Linked DNA regions of Oryzias latipes. The protein of the gene in region 2 binds, or shares a complex with, the protein of the main gene of each other region. Links are inferred from orthologs where the notes say so. Each region holds a gene or a part of one and is shown on either strand. Other genes may lie near its edges.

Evidence for each region. Proteins that work in one complex are often made in the same cells at the same time.
Region 1: surfeit locus protein 1 (region 2) and cytochrome c oxidase assembly factor 1 homolog share a complex: the UniProt entries of both Homo sapiens proteins name them as parts of the MITRAC (mitochondrial translation regulation assembly intermediate of cytochrome c oxidase complex) complex. The link is inferred for Oryzias latipes from reciprocal best matches to the Homo sapiens genes SURF1 and COA1.
Region 3: surfeit locus protein 1 (region 2) and cmc1 share a complex: the UniProt entries of both Homo sapiens proteins name them as parts of the MITRAC (mitochondrial translation regulation assembly intermediate of cytochrome c oxidase complex) complex. The link is inferred for Oryzias latipes from reciprocal best matches to the Homo sapiens genes SURF1 and CMC1.
Region 4: surfeit locus protein 1 (region 2) and timm21 share a complex: the UniProt entries of both Homo sapiens proteins name them as parts of the MITRAC (mitochondrial translation regulation assembly intermediate of cytochrome c oxidase complex) complex. The link is inferred for Oryzias latipes from reciprocal best matches to the Homo sapiens genes SURF1 and TIMM21.
Region 5: surfeit locus protein 1 (region 2) and smim20 share a complex: the UniProt entries of both Homo sapiens proteins name them as parts of the MITRAC (mitochondrial translation regulation assembly intermediate of cytochrome c oxidase complex) complex. The link is inferred for Oryzias latipes from reciprocal best matches to the Homo sapiens genes SURF1 and SMIM20.

Annotation. Positions count from the first base shown.
Region 1 is NC_019875.2:5,297,554-5,301,722, reverse strand, and holds the start of cytochrome c oxidase assembly factor 1 homolog, read right to left. Parts: upstream 2,801-4,169; 5' UTR 2,644-2,800; intron 2,622-2,643; coding exon of another isoform or gene 2,596-2,621; exon of another isoform or gene 2,521-2,595; intron 2,159-2,520; 5' UTR 2,146-2,158; coding exon 2,052-2,145; intron 1,847-2,051; coding exon 1,695-1,846; intron 1-1,694. Other genes in the region: blvra (biliverdin reductase A), read left to right, coding at 2,596-2,621. UniProt on the Homo sapiens protein: Component of the MITRAC (mitochondrial translation regulation assembly intermediate of cytochrome c oxidase complex) complex, that regulates cytochrome c oxidase assembly.
Region 2 is NC_019870.2:7,761,603-7,765,761, forward strand, and holds the start of surfeit locus protein 1, read right to left. Parts: upstream 2,801-4,159; 5' UTR 2,692-2,800; coding exon 2,638-2,691; intron 2,519-2,637; coding exon 2,455-2,518; intron 1,770-2,454; coding exon 1,642-1,769; intron 1,556-1,641; coding exon 1,473-1,555; intron 1,238-1,472; coding exon 1,046-1,237; intron 966-1,045; coding exon 893-965; intron 334-892; coding exon 171-333; intron 1-170. Other genes in the region: surf6 (surfeit locus protein 6), read left to right, coding at 2,929-3,016, 4,110-4,159. UniProt on the Homo sapiens protein: Component of the MITRAC (mitochondrial translation regulation assembly intermediate of cytochrome c oxidase complex) complex, that regulates cytochrome c oxidase assembly.
Region 3 is NC_019874.2:13,407,157-13,411,146, reverse strand, and holds the start of cmc1 (COX assembly mitochondrial protein homolog), read left to right. Parts: upstream 1-1,190; 5' UTR 1,191-1,329; coding exon 1,330-1,348; intron 1,349-1,711; coding exon 1,712-1,804; intron 1,805-3,990. UniProt on the Homo sapiens protein: Component of the MITRAC (mitochondrial translation regulation assembly intermediate of cytochrome c oxidase complex) complex, that regulates cytochrome c oxidase assembly.
Region 4 is NC_019878.2:15,518,283-15,522,375, reverse strand, and holds the start of timm21 (mitochondrial import inner membrane translocase subunit Tim21), read left to right. Parts: upstream 1-1,293; 5' UTR 1,294-1,308; intron 1,309-1,417; 5' UTR 1,418-1,439; coding exon 1,440-1,722; intron 1,723-2,856; coding exon 2,857-2,919; intron 2,920-3,050; coding exon 3,051-3,148; intron 3,149-3,257; coding exon 3,258-3,331; intron 3,332-3,799; coding exon 3,800-3,905; intron 3,906-3,991; coding exon 3,992-4,084; 3' UTR 4,085-4,093. UniProt on the Homo sapiens protein: Participates in the translocation of transit peptide-containing proteins across the mitochondrial inner membrane.
Region 5 is NC_019876.2:17,386,078-17,390,160, forward strand, and holds the start of smim20 (small integral membrane protein 20), read right to left. Parts: upstream 2,801-4,083; 5' UTR 2,719-2,800; coding exon 2,610-2,718; intron 771-2,609; coding exon 714-770; intron 1-713.

The sequences.
Region 1 (4,169 bases), on a different chromosome or scaffold from region 2:
GGGAGCGGACCGTTTCTTTTCTAGTTTGTTTGTTACTTTTTTTGTTAAAGTCACTTCCCTCAGTTTATACTGGATCATCGCGGATGAGTCATTAGTTGGGAAATAAAATAAATAAAGTAATAAAGTAAAACAACGAATAGCAATTATATAAGACCGAAATATTAAAAATAGCCCCCCCCACGACGATATCATCGTCCATACCGATGATTGACAGCAAACATCGTCAACGGCCAATTTAAGGGACATCGCCCAACCCTACTGCCAGAACGATATTTATTTAATTATTTCTGAGCGCTCTTCAGCGTCTGACTCTTGTTCTCCACTTCATCCTCTGACCGCTAGTTGGCAGCAGAGAACACGGAGCCTCTTAGAGCAGCTCTACTCTGCACGAGACAACAGGAAGACTGCAGCCAGAGGCAGCTTGTTCTGTTGTTATGAGACATGAAATACTTCGTTTTTACTTGCGATGGATACCAAACAGAAACTCTGAGCCATGTTGCTTTTTATATGTTGCTTCTAGCAACATATAAAAACGAGGATTGTGATGCTTTTTAGCGGCTCAGATAAATAAGAGTGAAGCACGGCAGCGGCTAAAGAGGCTTATGCGCTTAGCATCGGCTAAAAACCTGCTAATCAGCAAAGCGGGCTAAAATTCTGCAAAACATCCCAGCAATAGATTCTAGTTTAGCGACCTGATGGATCAGAGGAATGTGTACAACGCTCTGAAAAAAGGCGACATCGTGGCGAGGAGCGTTAGTTTACCTCCGTGTGAGATGAAGCGTGGCTGGAAAGCCAAAGGTGCAGCACAGGCAGAGACTGATAATATGTAAACAAAGCACTTTTGTCACATTAAAGCATCTTTTCGTCGTTCCGTCATGCTGCCTCATCATCACTTTATTGTTTCTGGAAATAATCAGTGTGTCCCCCACACCCCACCCTTTATTTTTGAAGCACCATTCTGACTCCTGAACCGTTTAAAAGTAATGGAGAAGCTACATTAAGCAAAGTTGAAAATAAACAGCATTTTATTTGCCCAATAGAAACTTATTGGTTAAGGCTCATTCATTCTTTGTTTTTCTTATACTGAAAAATATTTTGTTGTGGAAATCAAACAATGTTGACTGTTCCCTTTCTATATTTTAACTTACCAAAATAAAAGCACTATGAATTTGCTTTGGTAAATGGAACTTATACATGAGACGCAATTGCAGCGCTTAACATTGTGATCATTTAATAAACTGAATTTGACCATTTTATTGCAGTGGATGACATATTGAAATTCAGGTTGAGTTTTTTCAAAGCCATATTTAAAGAAAAAAAGAAAATATGTTTTGGTAAAATTTTGGGATACGTATCGTATCGCCAGACTCTTGCCAATACACAGCCCTAATTTGAGGTGGGACAGGTTTCAGACCTAGATTTGACAAGTAACAACTAGAATTCTGCTGCTTTTCCTGTTCTGGAGGATGTCACACAACTAAACTGTGTGTTTAAACTGGATTTATTCTGCCTTCTGTTATGTCGGCATAAGCAGGCTGCATACAAATGCACAGAATTAATTTGTGAATATTTTTTTCTGCCTAATACTTTGTTAGCAAAAATAATCCTATTTTTCATCTTCCTGTGATAATGGAGAAACTGGTCAGTTTACTCATCATCACACAGCGGCTGGACACCCCCCTGACAGACTGTACCTGGGCTGCCTGATGGTCCACACGGTTGTATCTGTCAGTCAGATGGATGTTATGAACTCGTAAGGGCGGGGCTCCAAGGCTCTCCATGGCAACAGGACACGCCTTCAGCTGTCGCACAGCGAGTTGATGGTATTCACTCCCAGCAAAGTTTTCTGACGAGATAGCAGAAAAGAGAGCATGCGCACGTACGTGTGCATGAGTCACAGAGACATGAAGGGGCTGCAGCAGAGAGACAGACCAAGACATTTGCGGGTTCCACTCCTAAACCAGAGCCACTTTCAGACCGTAAAGCGGAACCAGGAGTTTCTGTTTTGAACAGACTATTGCTTCAACGCGTGCACGCACACATGCACTCACTCTGCATCAGGTAGTACATGGTGCCAACGCCCCCACCCGTCAGGACGGTAGTGAAGATGGTGAGCCTCTGCAGATGGTGGATGGGGACCCTCATGGTGCAGCTCTTCCTGCACAAAAAAGCAAAGACAGATGAAACGGAGCCACGATGGCGGCTGAGCTGCAGACACCAACCTGAGAGACATGATGGAGGGAAAATCATCAGAGGATGCTGCCAGAAAAATGACTTATAGAGAGGAACTCTCTAGGTCTACAGCTCTGGAGTCCTGTCCTGGTTTCTAATTTGTTGAAACTTTATTTAAACAGGAACAGTGTACACAAATCCCAGAGAAAACAGGAACATTGTTCTGATGTTTTTTTTTTCTCCTGCAGGAGGAAACATTTCCAAAAATCCGAAAATAAAGATAAAGCATTCACTGTTGAAAATATTGGGATGTAAAAAAATGCTTCTAAAAAAAAAATCACCGACTACGAGGCACCGACTGGGCGGGGCCCTTTTACGTCATCGGGAATGTCCTGTCAGCTGGTCGAAATGGCCTCTCCATGAATGCTGTGGCGGACAAATGCGCTCAGGTGAGTTCAGTGTCACTCTTACCTGAACACATGCGGCTCTACCGGCGCGTGCTCTTCCCTGACCCCTCCCCCTCGTTTGCGCGGTTCTCCGTGAGCGTGCGCCGCTCTGCTGCAGGTTAGATCCGGAATCCGTCCGTAACACGTGTTCACGTGGGTTTAAATAGGGACGGTGGCCTTTGTCTTCTTTCTTCTATGCTTATCGGGGGTTTGTGCCGCACAAAGGCTGTTTACTGCCCCCTGCTGGACTCTGGACGCGCTGCACTAGATGAAATATAGAGGAAAATGGAACAGTCTTCTTTACAATTCAGTTTTTCCTGGACATGCAGGATAACTTCATACTGCTAATAAAAGCTGGCTTTCTTTCTTCGGTCTATATTCTGCACCATTTTAATGGAAATAAACGGGTTTTATCACCACTCTAATCAAAGTGTTTGACTGCGATCCGGGTAACCTTTGAGCACCTGTGGTTTACTAAATGTACATCATGTTTACGTGTTTGCGTGGACAAGAATGCCGCCCCATACACAGCACGGATATGGAACATTTTTCATTGTTCAGGCTGTTGTGTTGTTGTTGCTTCGAAACCTTTGAGAAGCTGCTGAAAAGAGGAAAAGTAGCTTATGCACAGAGCTGCACCAGACTGCATGTGCAGGAGACAACACCACCATGCAGACAGGGATGTCAGTGTTTCAGACTTTGCTAAGAAAAGTGGTAGGAGTTGTGTCTTAGAGTTAAATACATGTCCTCGAATGGATGGAAGAGCGGGACTACTGAAGTTGGATAAGCTCCATCGGGGAGGCCGTTAGCAAAGAGAGATGATTTTTAGAGAGAATACATTACGGAGAAACATTTAAATGAAGCACACCTGTTAACAGATACATATTAATAAAAACAGGATGATGCTTCTAGATATATTTGGACAGGACTGGTGATCTCTGACATCACCCATAGGGCTCTGAGGGCAAAAAACCCACGAGGAATACTAACCTCTCAACCGTCTCTTCGACTGCTGTTTTGGGAGTGAAAGCAGTCATTGTTGGTTCAATTCCCAGCTCTTCCAGTAATGTAGTATTGAAGTGATGTTGGGCAGAACACTACAGTAAATCTGTGAGTTAGGTTTAGTTTTTCCAACTGCATTTTTCCATCTGCTCGTGATTCAATTATTTGGAAAAAGCCACTTTAATCTTTATATATGTTCATTCAGAATGTTCTAAAAGAACATGTTAACACCCAAAATACAATTCTCATCGGAGTGGGTTTTAACAATAACCACTGTCCTAAAAGTTTATTTTTCATTCTCATGTATGAGAAAATACACGTGAATTGGGGGGGGGGGGGGGGGGGGGATTCGGACCCATGGCCTTGTTTTGGTTTAATAATGGTTCCATTTAAGCAGTGTGATGCTGCTTCCTGTGGACTAGGGGGTATGAATCTTCGGACACACAAGGTGTATATTTACATAAACCCATTTTGGATTAGAGGCTAAACTTCATCTATTCTCTTTATGTTTGTATACATTTTTTGTTGGACTGGACAGAAAAGAAGAGG
Region 2 (4,159 bases):
AGCCTTTAACCACAAGAGCAATGTGGGGCTCTGTGTTTTGCCCAAGGTCATGTCAACACAGGGGTGGGCAAGGCAGGAACCAAACTTCAGGTCAACCGCTCTAGCCCTGTTACAGTACTCTCACATCTACTGATTTTAAAATGGTGGGATGAAAACACCAGATTAGTTACCAAAGTCTGCATCGATTAAGATGGGAGCGGCTCCAGTGACGTGGCTCATGGCTTCCAGGTCCCGGTAATGCCAGCGGTTTCTTTCCACGTCATTGTTTGGTACGAACGGCTTCCGGTTCTCCGACAGCCTGATGATGCCGACCACCTCCACCTCATCCTCCACCTGTGTGGAGAACCAGAAAAACTTGATTGACAGTGCAAGAATCTGCAAAAACTATACAGCATTTATCAGACTATTTTCAATAAACCATTTAAAAAATGGGAACATAAATATTTTAGGATCTATGATTTATGTAAAGCATGTGTAGAACACTCTACTTTTTCTACATATTTCAATGCAACAGCCTATTTTACTAAATATTTTTCAAAATTCTATTTAACACCACACAGCAAAGGTAAAATATTGCTTTAAAAGGTGTTCAGTTATACTCAATTAGTAGATTCTATTATTTTTCCCTTTTCTAGCTGAACAGTTTTCACTGTCTTTATGGAGTTTCATGATCAGAAATCTGAGATTAAAAAGACCCCCCCCCCCCCCCATTTTGTGTAACGTTGTTGCAAGAAAAAGTTCAGTTAAACTTGAGATGTACGTGGTTAACTGAGGAAGCTCAGTGACTTTCACAATAAAAGCAAAGCTTTAGAAATGCTTCAGAGCACAACTGTATTAGCTTGTATTAAAATCACATGTTAAACGTATTTTTCTTCAAGAACATCACTCAGACCTGCCCCTTCATCCTGGTCTCTGGTCTGATCTTCTGCCTGGGGACGTATCCTCTGTTCACCAGAATCGTGATGCTGCAGCGACAACACAAACGGAGCAGAACTTGTAGCATCTGTGTGCGTTCGGTTCCGTGACGGCTTTTGCAGCTCCTTACCCGAGGTCGATGCACTGGAATGGTGTGACGACGTTGGCACCGGTCTCTCCACTTGAAGACAGGCTGCCAGCCTCTCTGGCCTCCTTCTCTGGGTCGACAGGGGAGCGCGGCATGATGTAGAGCTCCTTTGAATGATCATAGCGCCCACGCACCCTCACTCTCCGGTACTCCAGCTTATTCACCTCATTAGGACTGAGACACAGGATGAGAAAGGAAAGTAAAACCGGCTAAAGGGAACACAAAATTTACATACTTGCTTTTATTTTGATAATATTAATGAATGTTAAAATATCTGTAAAAGATTGAGATATTTAGACACTTTGACAACTTTGTGGGGAAAATTTACATGCAAGTAGTACATATAGCCTCGATCTCAGAAACGACGTTGTGATCATCTATTTATGCGAACCCAGATCTGAGTACTTACTCAAGTGGAAGTGGAATGGGTTCTTCTGTGGTGAGGCGGTGCAGATCATCGATCAGTCCCATTTTCCACTGACGCCGTTTCACCTGCACGAACATGATCAAATCATTTTATAAAACATCTACACATCAGAGGGGAAAACAAGTTCAGTAAAAACTAAATCTGGATGTACCTGCCATGTACCGAGGCCGAAAGTAGTGGCAGGGATGAGCAGCAGAAACCACTTGAGGAACGAGTCTTCAGTTTTGTCTGCTTTGACTGCTGTAGAGCTGCACAGACGCCCAAAGCTGAAAACCCTGCCTACATAGCATGAAAAAACAGAAATGATACATAAATGGGGAAAGATTACAGAATGTAATTTGTTCAAATAAAACAACAAAAACTGATCTATTTGGTAGATTGGTTGTAACAATACTTCTTGGCAAAAGTATATTATTAGACCATATTAAACTTATAACCCCCTTTAGTGATACCACATTTGCAAATAACATTTTCCAACTTTAAAAATAAAAAACCTCTAAAAACACAATCTACATCCTCTTTATCAGTAGCAATAATTGTATATATATTTTTGGTTTATTTTTAGTTTTTTGTCAGATCTGCTGCTCATCCCACAAGTGCTTGATTTCAATTCCAATAAGAAACAAATTTCAAGTATAAAACCTGGTTTTCAAAGTAAAAGCTTTATTTACATGATACATTCTAACAACCTGTAAAGAGACTTACCAAAAACAAATTTACTTACTTTTTTTGCTATGTTACATTTTGCATATTTATAAAGTAATAATATTTGCTTTTTGTAGACGTTCTAACTTAATCCCCACCAATATGCCACCACAAAAACAATAAATGTAGAGATATAAAGGATTTACGCTACAGAGGGAGTAGATAGAAACCAAATCATACAGGCAAAACATTTCCTAGCATTCTAAAAACCCACATAAAATCATCTGGTAAAATATCATAATAGTAATAAATGTATTACCGTTTGAACGCTTCAAGAGTTTGGGCAGAAAAAGGTTCCTCTGGATGTAAACAACATGATGGGACTAAATTTAATATAACACAAATTGAAATTAGATGCACTCTTTTCGTGTATCATCATGACTTTGAAATTGACGGTGATTAAAAAAACACCCAAAATTAAGGTTAAGCATAAAAAACTCACCTGTTTGTGAAGAAGCCTGTTCGAAAAGGCTACTAGGGATTTAATATAAGCCATGGTTGATCATAATTATGAATATAATCAAGAAAAGGTTTGAAGATCAACTACATAACAGCTACATTGATGTGTTTGTGCCCGGAGTTTTTCTCGGTGTTACTACTTCCGGTGTGTTTGTTCGTCCCTCCCACTTGTCGAAGGTTCCCACGTGCGCACAGGAATGTGTTCGTGACTATCAAATGTACTTATTTTCCCACTCCTACGTCTGATTTAAACAATTTAGATCTGTTTTTTAACATGGACCTCGCTGCGAAGGACGCGTACATTCAGAAATTTGCAAGTAAAGTCTTTCATCAGCACCAGGAATCTAAAGAGAGACCGTTTGGTAAGTTCAACTAACCATTTATTTACTAAAACGTTTTAACGGAAGAACGGAGGAAAGTTAGCTTGTTGTTCTTTTATAAACATTGAGTTAGTCCATAATGCACTTCTGGTGTGATACCCATGTTAACCAAAAGAGGCGCCAAATTCCTTTAATGCTTTACTGTAATTTCACTTTTACCTACTTGGAGGAAAGACATTTTATTTTTTTAATTAAATAAACTTTTTTTTAGGTTACTTGTCGAATGTTTTGCTGGTGATTTTTTTTGTCATGTTTATTTTGAAATCCTAATAATAACTTAAAAAAACCTATTGCAAAACCTATGAAATTGTTATGTTATCAGAAATTAATTACATTGTTAAATAAATTCTTGATGTTGGGAACAAACTACTTGGAAAATTCCTATTTTTCTGCAGCATTATGAATAAAAATAGCCTTATAAAAATGAGATAAGACATTTTTCACACCTTTATTTAAACTACTAAAATCATCCCAGTTTCGGTAACAGAAATGCAGAATATGATATAAGGCAAAAAATACAAAGCTAAAACGTTTTAAAAGAAAAACAAATATTCATATTTAAAAGACTATTTGTCATTACCCATCAATATTGTTAATATTTTTATTATTAGGCTGATTGATTAGAGAGTCCTGCTGCCTCTTGGATCCCTCCACAGTGTGGTCCAAAGGATGTGAGGCATTGTTCCTAACGTATGTAAAGGTTGACCTCTGACCTCGATTTTCTTAATAAGGTCCAACAGGCAGTCCAAGACAGAACTGACTTTCTTTTTCACTAGTGTGAGTCATTTGTCTGCTCCGCCATCAGCCCAACACCCAGAAAATATGACTTTTATAAAAACAGAAGCTGTTTCCAATAAATTCCATCTCTGAATGGGGGAAAAGTCAAACACAGTGTGACCTGCCACTGCTGGTAATTGAGGAACATTATCTGAATATTATTATTATCTGAATTATTCCTGTCAGTCTGATGGTGCAGCCGAACACATCAGTTTTTTGTATGAAATGTGTTTTAATTGTTTTTGTTGTAAATATGCATTATTTGAGCATAAAAGGTTTTTTGTTTGTGTGTTTTAAGTTTATTACAGAGGTAAAAGCACAACTGATCCTCAAAAGAAGAAGAAGAAG
Region 3 (3,990 bases), on a different chromosome or scaffold from region 2:
ACAGGTTTGATTAAATTTTGTAAGGTTTTGAAGAAAAAAAATTAAACAATTTAAAAAATTGTTACAAAAAATGTCCACTTTTAGACGTTTTAAAACTTTTCTAGACATATATATTTTTTTGTACACTAACATTCTAAAGGTTTTCATGTAAAAAAAAGGATTGTTCTGATACCAAATTAACAGAACAAAGACAGTTGATATATTAACCTTTTTTGGAAGACATTTTAACAGAACTGTGAAAGAAATACACCAATTGATGACCAGTATAGAATATAATGGAATTTGATCAAATGGCTGAATTTTTCTCTGTTTGCATCACTTAAATGACTTTATTTTGCTGCGACTGATTTATTACAACTCTTCCTTAAAACTGCTTTCATGATTTATTCAAGGTATAAGTACTTACTAATGACAAGTCGTTTTGGAATTTTGGGCTTCAGGAAAAAATTGCGGATGTTATTTACTAAATTTGTGGTAATTAATCATTCAGTATCCATCCAGCAGAGAAAACACAAAAAAGGATAAGCTTGGTACTTCCAATTATATTGCTTAAATTATAGTTTTAATAATCTAATTTCATTTAAAAATGTTGTAACCTACATTTTGTTTCATACAATGTAACTCCTTTAGTAGTCAACGTCTGTTATTTAAATCCAGGTCATATATAAAAAAGATAATTTTAGAATGATTAAGGAAATGTTAAATAATTAAGTATTTACCCAGAAAATGGTCACTACCATTATTCAAAATAATATAATATAATATAATATAATATAATATAATATAATATAATATAATATAATATAATATAATATAATATAATATAATATAATATAATACAGTATAATATGATATAACATTACATAACATAACATAGTACAGTATAGTATAGTATAGTATAGTATAGTATATGATATGATATGATATGATATAATATAATATAATATAATATAATATAATATAATATAATATAATATAGTAAAATACAGTACTATATAATACAATACAATACAATACAATACAATACAATACAATATAATATAATATAATATAATATAATATAATATAATATAATATAATATAATATAATATAATATAATATAATATAATATAATATAATATAATATAATATAATATAATATAATATAAAAGTTTATTTTGCTTAAAAAACCTGACTTCATTCGGAAGAGGCGGTACTCGTTACCACACCGTGTTGTCTATGGGATTTGTAGTTTCATTCTTCTTACGTCAGCGGAAGTGTTTTCAGCGTCCGTTAGCTAGGTCACATTGATTGCCTCTGTTTTGTAATGTTTTGAGAGTCCCCCCATAATGGAAGCAACAAATACAGGTATGTAACGTCCTTTTATTAAAAAAAAATGCCTCGTCAAGTATAAAATGTATTCGGTAATTTCACCATAAAGATGAATATGTTATCTGGATGATAACTACTAGCCATTCCTCGGTGTCTTGCCATGATCATGCATGACGTTAGCGACATATCGATCCACGACGTTTTGGTAGTTGCAAACCGAACTCCACTTTATTTTTATTAGCTACATTAAATGTTTTGTAATTTTGCACATTAGGCGTTGTACCGTCATGATAAAGCCGTAGTCTTCATCAGTTTAATTTACTAATAAACCGTTTCCATCATCCTCGTTTGGCACACACATCTCTCTTGTTTACCTCCTTTTCTCCTGATCTGATACAGAGGAGGTCCATCTGAGACATGTGGAGACGGACGTGCTGATCCCCAAGATGATGAGGGAGAAAGCCAAGGAGCTTTGTGCGGACAAGGTTGATGGTGTGTTTACAGATAACTCAGCAAATACCAGTGAGCTGTGGGTTAAGCTGACTCCTTCTCTGTACAGCACACACAGATTCGTCTTCATTGTGGCCGTCATGAAAGGAGATCTTGATCACGTGTGAACTTTGAGTGACCTTGAGATCTAAAACCAAAAAAAAAAAAATATTTTTTCATTTTTCTGAGCAGTGTAGGATTTTATTTCACATTAAAACCTCTTGTGATGTTGCTGTCACCACATTAATTTGGACCAGCAACATCCACAGAGCTTGATGAACGTTGATGGCATTTTGGAACCGATAAGCGTAGGGGTGTCAAACTCATTTCCACCGAGGGCCACATCAGTATAGCAGCTGTCCTCAAAGGGCCGGATATAACTTATACATGTAACTAAATGTAATGAAACATACACGTAACTACTCCTTAATGTTAAACAACTAATTTATTTATTATTTATAACTTTTGAAAGTGACAATTACAGTTGCATAGAAAACATATGTTTGCTTGTTACTCTATCATAAATCCTTTTAAATTTGATTCTGTCAGGTTAGGTTATATGGACAGTGTTTAAGTCCTAATGTATGGTTGCCCAATCTGATATTTCAAGGCAGATTCCCCCCCTATATATATAAATACACACCAATTTTTATTTTTTATTTTAAGAAATCAAAAACTTTTATGCTCTCGGGGGCCACATAAAATGACATGGAGGGCCACATTTGGCCCCCGGGCCTTGAATTTGACATATGTGGATAAGAGGAAGGGACTCCTGTTGTAATGCCACTAAATCAACAGTTTTCTGATGGTTTCACAGTATCAGCAAAGTCTCAATTTTGGCCAATTATCTTTACATTTTTGGTCAAACCAAAAAACTCAGCACCTTGATAACACTTAAATATTAGAAATAATGATGTCTAACATGAGTTACTACAAATATAATGTATAAAAAGAAACAACAGTATAAAACACTGCAGAAAACAATAGTAAAATACATCTTTTTCATTATCACTGGTGTATGAGTAACCATCCTCAAAACTCTGGACATTGTACTTTTATTATTCATTTAATGTTTATGACTTTTTTTTTTAAATATGCATCCCTAAGTGCAGAACTCTTAAGATCACCAGTTTTTTTTCTAGTAAAGATTTGTGTTAATCAAATCAATTATTTGATTTCTAAAGCATCAGGTTAACGATTTGAAAATGGCATTAGACTTTTAGTCTCAAAGTCTTTCCATTCCTAATTTTTCCTTAAAATTTAAAGAAGTAAGGGGATAATCTGGATCAGTAAGTTTGACCCAAAAGTGAATTTAGTAAAAGTCTTGTTTGAGTAGGGCAGCATTTCATTAAATTAAATTCTTTGAGTTAAATTTATAGTAAAAACCTCAGAACAAATGGTAATGCAGGCTATTTTCAATAGTTGTTTCTTAATAAATACAGGTTTGTTTGAACGCGTTTGTATTTTTTAATATTTAATATTTTCTGTTAAAAAATAATTACAAACAATGGGACTGATTTAGTTGTGGCTAACCAGCATATTTTACATTAATAATAGTTTGACAGTTATATTGGCAGTTTTTTCCTCTTCTTGGGTCTCTCCTTTCTATTCCTTAAACATTTGACTTGTGTGCTGCTAAACTTTTGCTGTGAATTATATTTAAAGGCCAGGCTAACTGGCATGCCAGCAGTAACTACATCATCTGCACAGAAACACTGCCCGTAGTCTTGCTCGTGCAGTGCTACAGGGCAACTGCAGCGATGCATCAACCAGAGTGACTAAGTTATGTGGTTTGTAAAAATCTGATCACAGCCAGTGTGCGCTGCTTACGCGAGGAGAAGGGTGCACATTCAGGCTGGGGTGATGGGACAGACAGTGGCTATGTGGTAATGGAAACCCCCCTCATCTTACAAGCTTCTCGTCCCACTCATTTTCACACCTTCATCCTCCACCCTCTCATGCTGTGTGCTTGTGTCTGCACACGTGTGTCTGTGTTGGAGTTTTACAAAGAAACGTGAAAAACGCCTGGCAGCACGTTCACTGTGTTTTTGTCTTTACACACAAGCAGCCCACACTTGGATTTTGTGGGCTTTGAGAAAGGCGCGTTCTACTGACCCCAACCCGTCATGATTTTTCCCACTGAATAGATGATTCACGCTAATATTTTAATGTCTTTCAGAACAGCCTAC
Region 4 (4,093 bases), on a different chromosome or scaffold from region 2:
AATTGACCAGTTTTGTATTTGACCAATCCCCTGAGGAAGAAGGAAGCTGGTGTGACAATGGAAATATTTTGTTCAGTGGCAGTTCTACACTGACTTACAACCCCCCCCACACCCACATTGACCACATCGTTTTGTGTTCCCTATTTTTAATTAACACAAAAATCAACACAAATGTAAGAATTTTATATACTCGTATTACAAGGGTGTCAAACTCAATTGCACAGGGGTCCAGGTTGTGGGCCGAACAGGATAAACATTTAGTGAACACATTAAAGATACGTTTTCAAACATTTTAAACTTATTTTGAACAAAAATTTGAATAAAAACAGACAGGAATATTGTTTCGGAATAAATCAACTTCAAGCAGCCCCAAAAATGTAATTGATAATCACAAAGACACTAAATAACATTGTTATAAAATCTCAATCATGTGGATTTGCTTTCAGGAAAGTGCAACTTTAATTGAAATAGGAAAGAAAATATATGCATTTATCAGATGTTTCTGAAATTTGTGGGAGTGCTGACTCAAACAGCCATTCAGCAAATACATATTCATGTCTGCTGTGCATTTAAGTCCTTAGCCAGTAATGCTGTAGTGAGCAGTAATTTGTTTTCCTTTCATTTTTTATCAACATGAAAGGATCCTTTTAAAATAAATTATACCTGTAATTAAAAAAAAAACTTGTATTAATTAAGGGTCTATTTAAAGTATTTACATAATCCTAAGTACCAAGTCAATAAGTTTGAAACCTTAAGTGAATTATTTTTATGTTGAAAAAACTCTGCTTCTAATTAAGTATGTCTAAATTGTTGCATGTTTTGTTTTTTTGGATTTATAACTTTGTTTTGTCTCAACACGTTTTACCTTTGTTATAAAACATAAAAACTGTTTGATCTCAATTTTTTAATCATTGTTTTAGCAGAAAAAAGACCACATTTTTTCTGCTAAAAAATGTGGTCTTTTTTCAAGAATTCTTGAATCTTGAATCTTTAGCAGAAAAAAGACCACATTTATCACTCAGAATTGACTTTTTTGGACAGTTTCAACTTCATTGTGGAGTTATTGTGCAGTATAATGAAAACAAAATCAGTAAAACGAAGTGTGGGTTTTTAAAAAGAGGATGGAAATCAAGCATTGCCGCAAAAACCGATTTGAAGATAAATCAATAAAGCGAAATACGACGTAAGGTCAAAAAAGCCCCAGACCACAAATAAGGCTGCAGTTTGACATCCGGGACAGAAGGGGGCAGTAGCCATCTTTAGAAAATCCTCGACGTCTGATCGACCCAGCAGGTCAGTGAATCAGAGGTCTGAATGGCGGTTTCCAGCATTGCAATTCCATGTTACCATGAAAGACCGCTGTTATTTGATTCTTATTTTCAGTAGATGAGCTGCTGTTTTCTTTTCTTTTTTTCAGATATTGTCCGTCGGATAAAATAATGTCTTTCACGCACATTTTAAAAGCCGTGCAACAAAGTGTGCGGAGCTCCGGGAAAACATTTCTCCCCGTGCAGCAGGCTGGCGTGCTGTTGTTCACACGCAGAGCAGGAGCGGTCATCCCCGGCCTGTCCGTCCGTGGGTCAGAGGCTCCTGTGTCCGCCCTGAGCTGTCTCTGTCAAACACGAAGACGCTTTTCTGTTCACGTTATCCTCAGAAACAAGGAGGAGAAGCACAGGTCTGTTTCTGCCTACCAGAGTCCTAAAGTGTCCTCTGCTCAGAAAGGTATGCCCATTTCAGATTTGTGCAACTAAACGCATATTTACTGTCTTGTCTCTTTAAATGGGGTTTAAAGCTACTATTTTATTTAGAAAAAACTAAAAATCTTGTTTTAGGACCGCCCATTTTGTTTTCTTACAACCAAAGCTGCTTTCAAAGTTTCTTGGCAAGTAATAACTCCTACTCCCTTTCCTGTGGTGTTCCTCAGGTTTCTGTTCTGGGCCCTCTTTAGTCTATACCTCATTCACTCACTTTATGTACTTCATCTTTTTCATGTGATTTATTGATACCTAAAGATTCTTAATGACCTGAAACTGTGTTGGTAAGGTATAAATATCCGCTTAGAAGTTATGAACCGGATACTTCATGTAAAGAAAATGTTAAGTTTGATAAGTTTGCTTCCTTCCACTCCCTTTCAAGCCATCTTTAATTAAATGACTAAATATTCTATGTTTGATACATCTTAGTTTGTATGGATGTTGATTGTGTAGTTTTCAGCATTGTTTTTGCTTTGGTTGCTTGAAATAAGCAATGCCAAATCCAATTGAACAAGGTTTATTGAAAAAAGAAAAGAAAATCCAAATTAATCTTGAAGATAAATTCTGCATTAATTCATCAAATCAATGGATATATTTCATTTTGCATTTATTCCAGCATTGGAATATATATATTCCAGACCAAGAATTTGCTCCTTTATTCTATTTTTATGTCATTATTTTTAAAGTAATGAAGTAATTACTAACTCTGGTAACGTTAGGTTGGGGGTGTGAGGGGGAGCGGGTAATAGGTTGGTGATGGGAAGTGGAGCAGGCTTGCTCCACGCCAACAGCACAGTGGTCAATTTCTATTGAACTACTGCTGCTCTGCAGAAACTAACTAACTAAAGATCTTTAGGACTTGTCATCATAATACCTCGGGGCATACTAGAGGGCCAGACCTAACGTTATGTTGATGAGTTCCTCCTCCTCTTGTCATCTCTTATAGCCGCAGTCTAATAGAGCTACCCGTCTGCACAGACACACAGTTTCCTTTTATATCAAACCTGGAATATTTTCACTCTGGGTTAAATTTTGCTTATAAATCTAAACTCTTCCACTATGCATTGGCCACTCAAGAGCCTCTGCTCTGTTTGTCTTTCAGTCAAAGATGCTGGGAGAGACTTCACCTACCTGATCGTGGTCCTCATCGGGCTTGGAGTAACAGGTGAATTGAACTGCACGAGTCCAAGGAATGGCTACACAACAATCCCACATTGCTTGTTTATATATTTATTTATTTGGTCCCAGAACACACAACCTAAATAATCAGCTGCAGTTTTCTGCTGTGTTGGTCAGGGGGGCTGTTATATGTGGTGTTCCAAGAGCTGTTTTCCTCTACCAGCCCAAATAAAGTCTACAGCAGAGCCTTTGACAAAGTCAGGTCGCACCCAGAGGTAAAAATCAAGCCAGACGGCGTCTCCTATCAATATTTTTTTACTGTTGAAATGGCTAGAAATCATTGTTTTTCCAAAATAAAAGTAAGAAATACATAATCAATTGCAGGTTATTGGGGCATTTGGAGAACCAATTAAATGTTACGGTGAGACCACCCGCCGAGGGAGAAGGCAGCAAGTCAGGTGTGTTGACACTTTATCTTATCTTATTGAACTTTTTCTTACTTGCAAAATGTTGCTTTAGCATTCATTGATTCATGGTATAGAATACAGTAAATCTGATCAAACTTGGCATAACAAGCAGCTGCCTTTAGTTTTAGAGGAAATGCTTTTGCAGGATTTGAAGGACTTCCTTTCAGAATCACAACCTGTGAACATCAGCTATAAATCATATTTTCAGCAGCATTGAATTTCCTTCAACGTTTATGCAAAACTTGTCATGAAGGAGAATTTAGTTTCAGACCCCACAGCTATGAAACATAAAAGTTTTTATTGTCTTTTGAAGAGCTAACGTGGTATTCGTGCTGATTTATTGTAAGCATCTGAGAATCTGGAGCTCTGGAAGAATGGAGTTACAAAATGTTAAGGTTATTACATATATATGTTATTGTTGGAGTTTTTTTATTCCTTATTCTCATATTTCCACTTCAGTCACGTGGAGTATGTAAAGGATGGACTTAAGCACATGAGACTAAAGTTTTACATTGAGGGATCGGAGCCGGGCCTGAAAGGGACGGTGCATTCAGAGTCTAAAGAGGTAAGTCTTTATTTAAATGGAAACCTGTTGTTTCTTGTGTGGATTTTTTGATCAGTTGAGATAATGGTATCCTTGTTGTTTTGCAGAATCTTGAAACTGGAAAGTATGAATTCCGTTATGTATTTGTAGAAATAGATACCTACCCGAGACGGACTATTGTTGTGGAGGACAACAGATGAGGAGCTTTT
Region 5 (4,083 bases), on a different chromosome or scaffold from region 2:
GTAGAATCAGTGCTTTGCAGAGCAGACGTTTGCTTTAATAGATATTAAATCCCGCAATAGTTATTAAAAAGATAATAATCATAAATGGAGATTAAAGAAATAATGTAATTAAACTGAAAGTTACAAAAGAAACAAAATACTACAGCAAATGCAGTTGCACATGGTTTTTAACTTGTGCTTTATTTCTTAATTTAGCTCCAAACAATGTGTTTTTTAATTTTGAGTTTCAGAAAATTCAGAAAATGTTTAGGCCAAATGTGGACATTTTAGTCATTATTGTAATTATCAAATGATTACAGAGGATGTAGAAAGTGATCCTGTGACAAAATAAAGTTGATCTAAAAGAGCAGCCGGGCTGCCTTCACTTTTCTGTGACTCAAATCCAATAAAAATGTCAAACTGTTTCGCTTTCATGGCGTTTTTTGTTAAGGATAAGAAATCCGACCAAAATACTTTCACAGATTCTTTTCAAAAATTGATTTCACTTAATCTGCCATCCATACTTAAAGTAAAAACATTTGTTTATTGTTTTTAATTGATTAAAAACGGACCCAAGAAGTGTTTTGGAATGACAAAATATACAAAAAGATTCCTCTTTTGTGAGGAAAGTTGATCCAAACATTTCTCTTTTTTTTTTTTTTTTTACCAGTATTGTCAAAGCTCCTGTAAGCATCATTTCACCCGCTTTTTTGAATTCAGCGACCTTTTCTTACCCACAGGCTGCACATCTTCCTGGTTTATTCCGGACCGATTTATCCTCTGAGTTTGTCCTAAAAAGGAGCACAGCATTTCAGTTAGATTCTTTATTCTAGGGAAAATTTTCATGCTATGATCCATTTCAAAAAATTTCTAGAAATGTTTGATTTCAAATGTTTTTAAAAAAAATTAAGGAAGGAGAGTCTAAAGCTTCAGTTTAGGGAACATATTTGCCGGTGATTGTGAAAATCATTACAGGGGTTGTATTTTTATAATAGTAACATTGCAAAGGTGCAGAAAATCCATGGAAAAAATAAATAAATATTATTATTACTTAAATAATATAACAGTTAAAAAAAATCCTACTTTAAAGAGCTAATTTCAGAAAACCTGATTCATTCGTGACATTATAGTGTGACCTCAAGTAGCTTGAAGTAGTTAGGATTCAGTTTGACCTAAAACCTTCAGATCCTGCTGCTTACATGAACACATCTGGATTTCTCCAAAGATGGAGATTTCTGGAAGAGTTATTCAAGCAGGAAGTCCGAATCTGTGACCATCTTTCTAACTTTACCAAATCCTCTGAGTGCTGCACTCTGATTGGTTAACTCCCCCCTCCTCTAACCCTCCCTTCCCCCAGTTCCATTATCAGACACAGATCAGTTTTGACACAAGTTTCTTGCAAGGAATGTGTCAGAATTCAGAGCGCAGTTGTAGCGCACTTGTGATTTGCGCCAGCAGATTCGAGCAGACGCAGAAGCACATTTGAGCAGTTGGAATCACATATTTGACGTTGTAACTCTAAATGAACACATGCAAATGGGAATTTCTCAGTTCACAGCAAAAGATTTTTACACAAAGATGCAGAATTTTGTTGTGCAAGTATTCACATTCTATATTACAAGATCTCACATCAAATCAAAAGTGCGTTCTTTTTGGAACATATTTACCTTCATAAAGAACAGTCAGATTTGTTTTTTTAGTTGTGTATTTTGATGCCTAAGAATGAACTTTTTCTGTTGTTTTTTGTTTCAGAAGTTTATTTGAACTGCCTTTTTCCCACATCCGATGCAGAAAAACTTAAAATAAATCAGGCAAACATAAATCCTTGAAGCAGGAAATAGAATTTTTGGAGAGACATCTGGCCCAAATACTATTACCAGCCATAATCCATTAAAGATATCAGGCTTTTTTCACCTCAGTAAGCAGACTACTGTTGAAATCAGATCATGATCGGTGTGCATGCAAACTGTTAAATAGCAGCGGCTGAAAAGATAGCTTTTTTTATTTTATTTAATTGTACTTTCTCCTTCATTTATGTTATTTATTATTATCATTATCATCATTATTCACATTATTATTAGTAGTAGTAGTTGATTTTCTCTTTTTCTATTATTATTTTTAATAGTAGTACTAGTACTAGAAGCAGTATTAGTAGTCGTTTTCTTGTCTTTTTCTTGGGCAGACTTAATAAATAAGCTTCTTCCTGCTCTATTTCAAACATGTTTTCTATTGTTGTACTATTTTTGCTGTAGCTGTTTTTATTCATGTTTTCATCTTTAGATTTGCATCATTTTGACTGTATTATTTTTAATTATAAACATGTTTGGGGGAAAAACATAGAACCTATGAGGAAAATTACTTTAAAAGTTTGCTTATTTTCAGCTTTGAGGACAAAATACTCAAATGGAATTAAACTACTAGCTAGCTAAAAGTTAGAAGCTAGCTTCCAAAAGCAGTTTAAATAAAAAAAAAAATACTTCAGTACCGGTACTTCAAATATTTTTTTCAAAACAGCCTTTAGTTTGATTTAGGAGAATATCTTTAGAAAATATATAAAAATATTTGTGACGTTTACATGACATTGTATAAGAGCTAAAAAAATAAATAAATACAAGCTGTTAGCTACTTACTGTACTCGTCTCTGTGCGTCAGAGGATAGACGAAAATAGGATATAAAGCAGCGGCGACTGTTGTTATAAAACCCCCAAAAATCAGCGCTATTCTTATATTTTTCGACATTTTTCTAGCTTGGTAGGACGTAACCTAGCATTAAAGACACCCCGTGTTTACAACTTGTACTTCCGGGGAAAAGGTTACGCTGTCACATTTTTTTTGACAAATCTTTATTTAAAAACCAAAAATGACAAACAGCAAGGAACACAGAGCAATACACTGTATATCAATTTTGATAGATAAACGCTAGGGGTTATGAAAGTAAAATTATGTTAATCTATTAAACTGAGCCTAAAATCACTTCTAGTGAATGATATAGAAATTACAGATGAAAAGGCTGTATCCTCAGAAATTTACAGATTTTATAGCCACCTTTACAGCTCTAAATTTTCAAGAGCAGACTGTGACAACTTTATAAAAGAGATTCCCCACATCCCCAAAATAGACGACAATTTTAAACAAACATGCGATAAACAACTTTTAATCTCTGAGCTTGATGCTGTCATTAATCGACTCTCTCTTAATAAATCTCCTGGTTCAGATGGGCTCACAGGCGACTTTTATAGACACTTTTGGGAAGATATCAGAAAATTACTGTATCAAGTCTTCTTGGAAATCTTGAAATTTGGCCATTTATATTACGAATTGTTATGACATCAAAAAGTTAAATGTCTTGGGTACAGAGCTTATTATTGGCCAGCTAGCAGATGACACAACACTGTTTTTAAAAGATGAGCATCAAATCAAAGCAGCTATTGAAAAAGTAAAACACTTTTCCAAAGCGTCAGGGTCAAACTTAAATTTAAAGAAATTGTGAACTGTTGACTATTCATGACACACCTTTAAAAGAAATCAATCATATGCCCATTAAATCAGAAATTAAATACTTGGGGATCTACATCACCAAAGACCAAAAAATAAGCTAATCAAGGAATGTGGGTGAAAAACTGGATGAATGTGAGACAGAGTTAAATATGTGGCTCCAAAGAGACATGTCGATGCAGGGCCGGATCTATCTGACAAAGATGGAGTGTTTGTCAAGATGTATTTACCCATCTTACTCTAATGCCATCCCAAACAAAATGATAAAATCCATCTGCCAAATGACTTTAAACTTTATTTGGAGAAACAAGCATCATTACATGAAAAATAAATATGGTCAAAGAATTTAAAGATGGTGGTCTCAAAGTTATGAATTTTGACTGCCGTAACGGAATCCTATAGATAAAATCGTGGATCAAACACAACCAATCTTTCAATCTAGCATTATCAGAGTTCCACAATTCTGCTATACTGGAAAATATTGTATGTGCATCGCCATTTTTAAGTACTATTTGGAACAATGAATACATGCTCCATAGAAACAAGTCCTTGTTTTGTGCTGAATGGTTTGGGCAAAGTGTTTGGTCGGTGACTGATCTGATGGACACG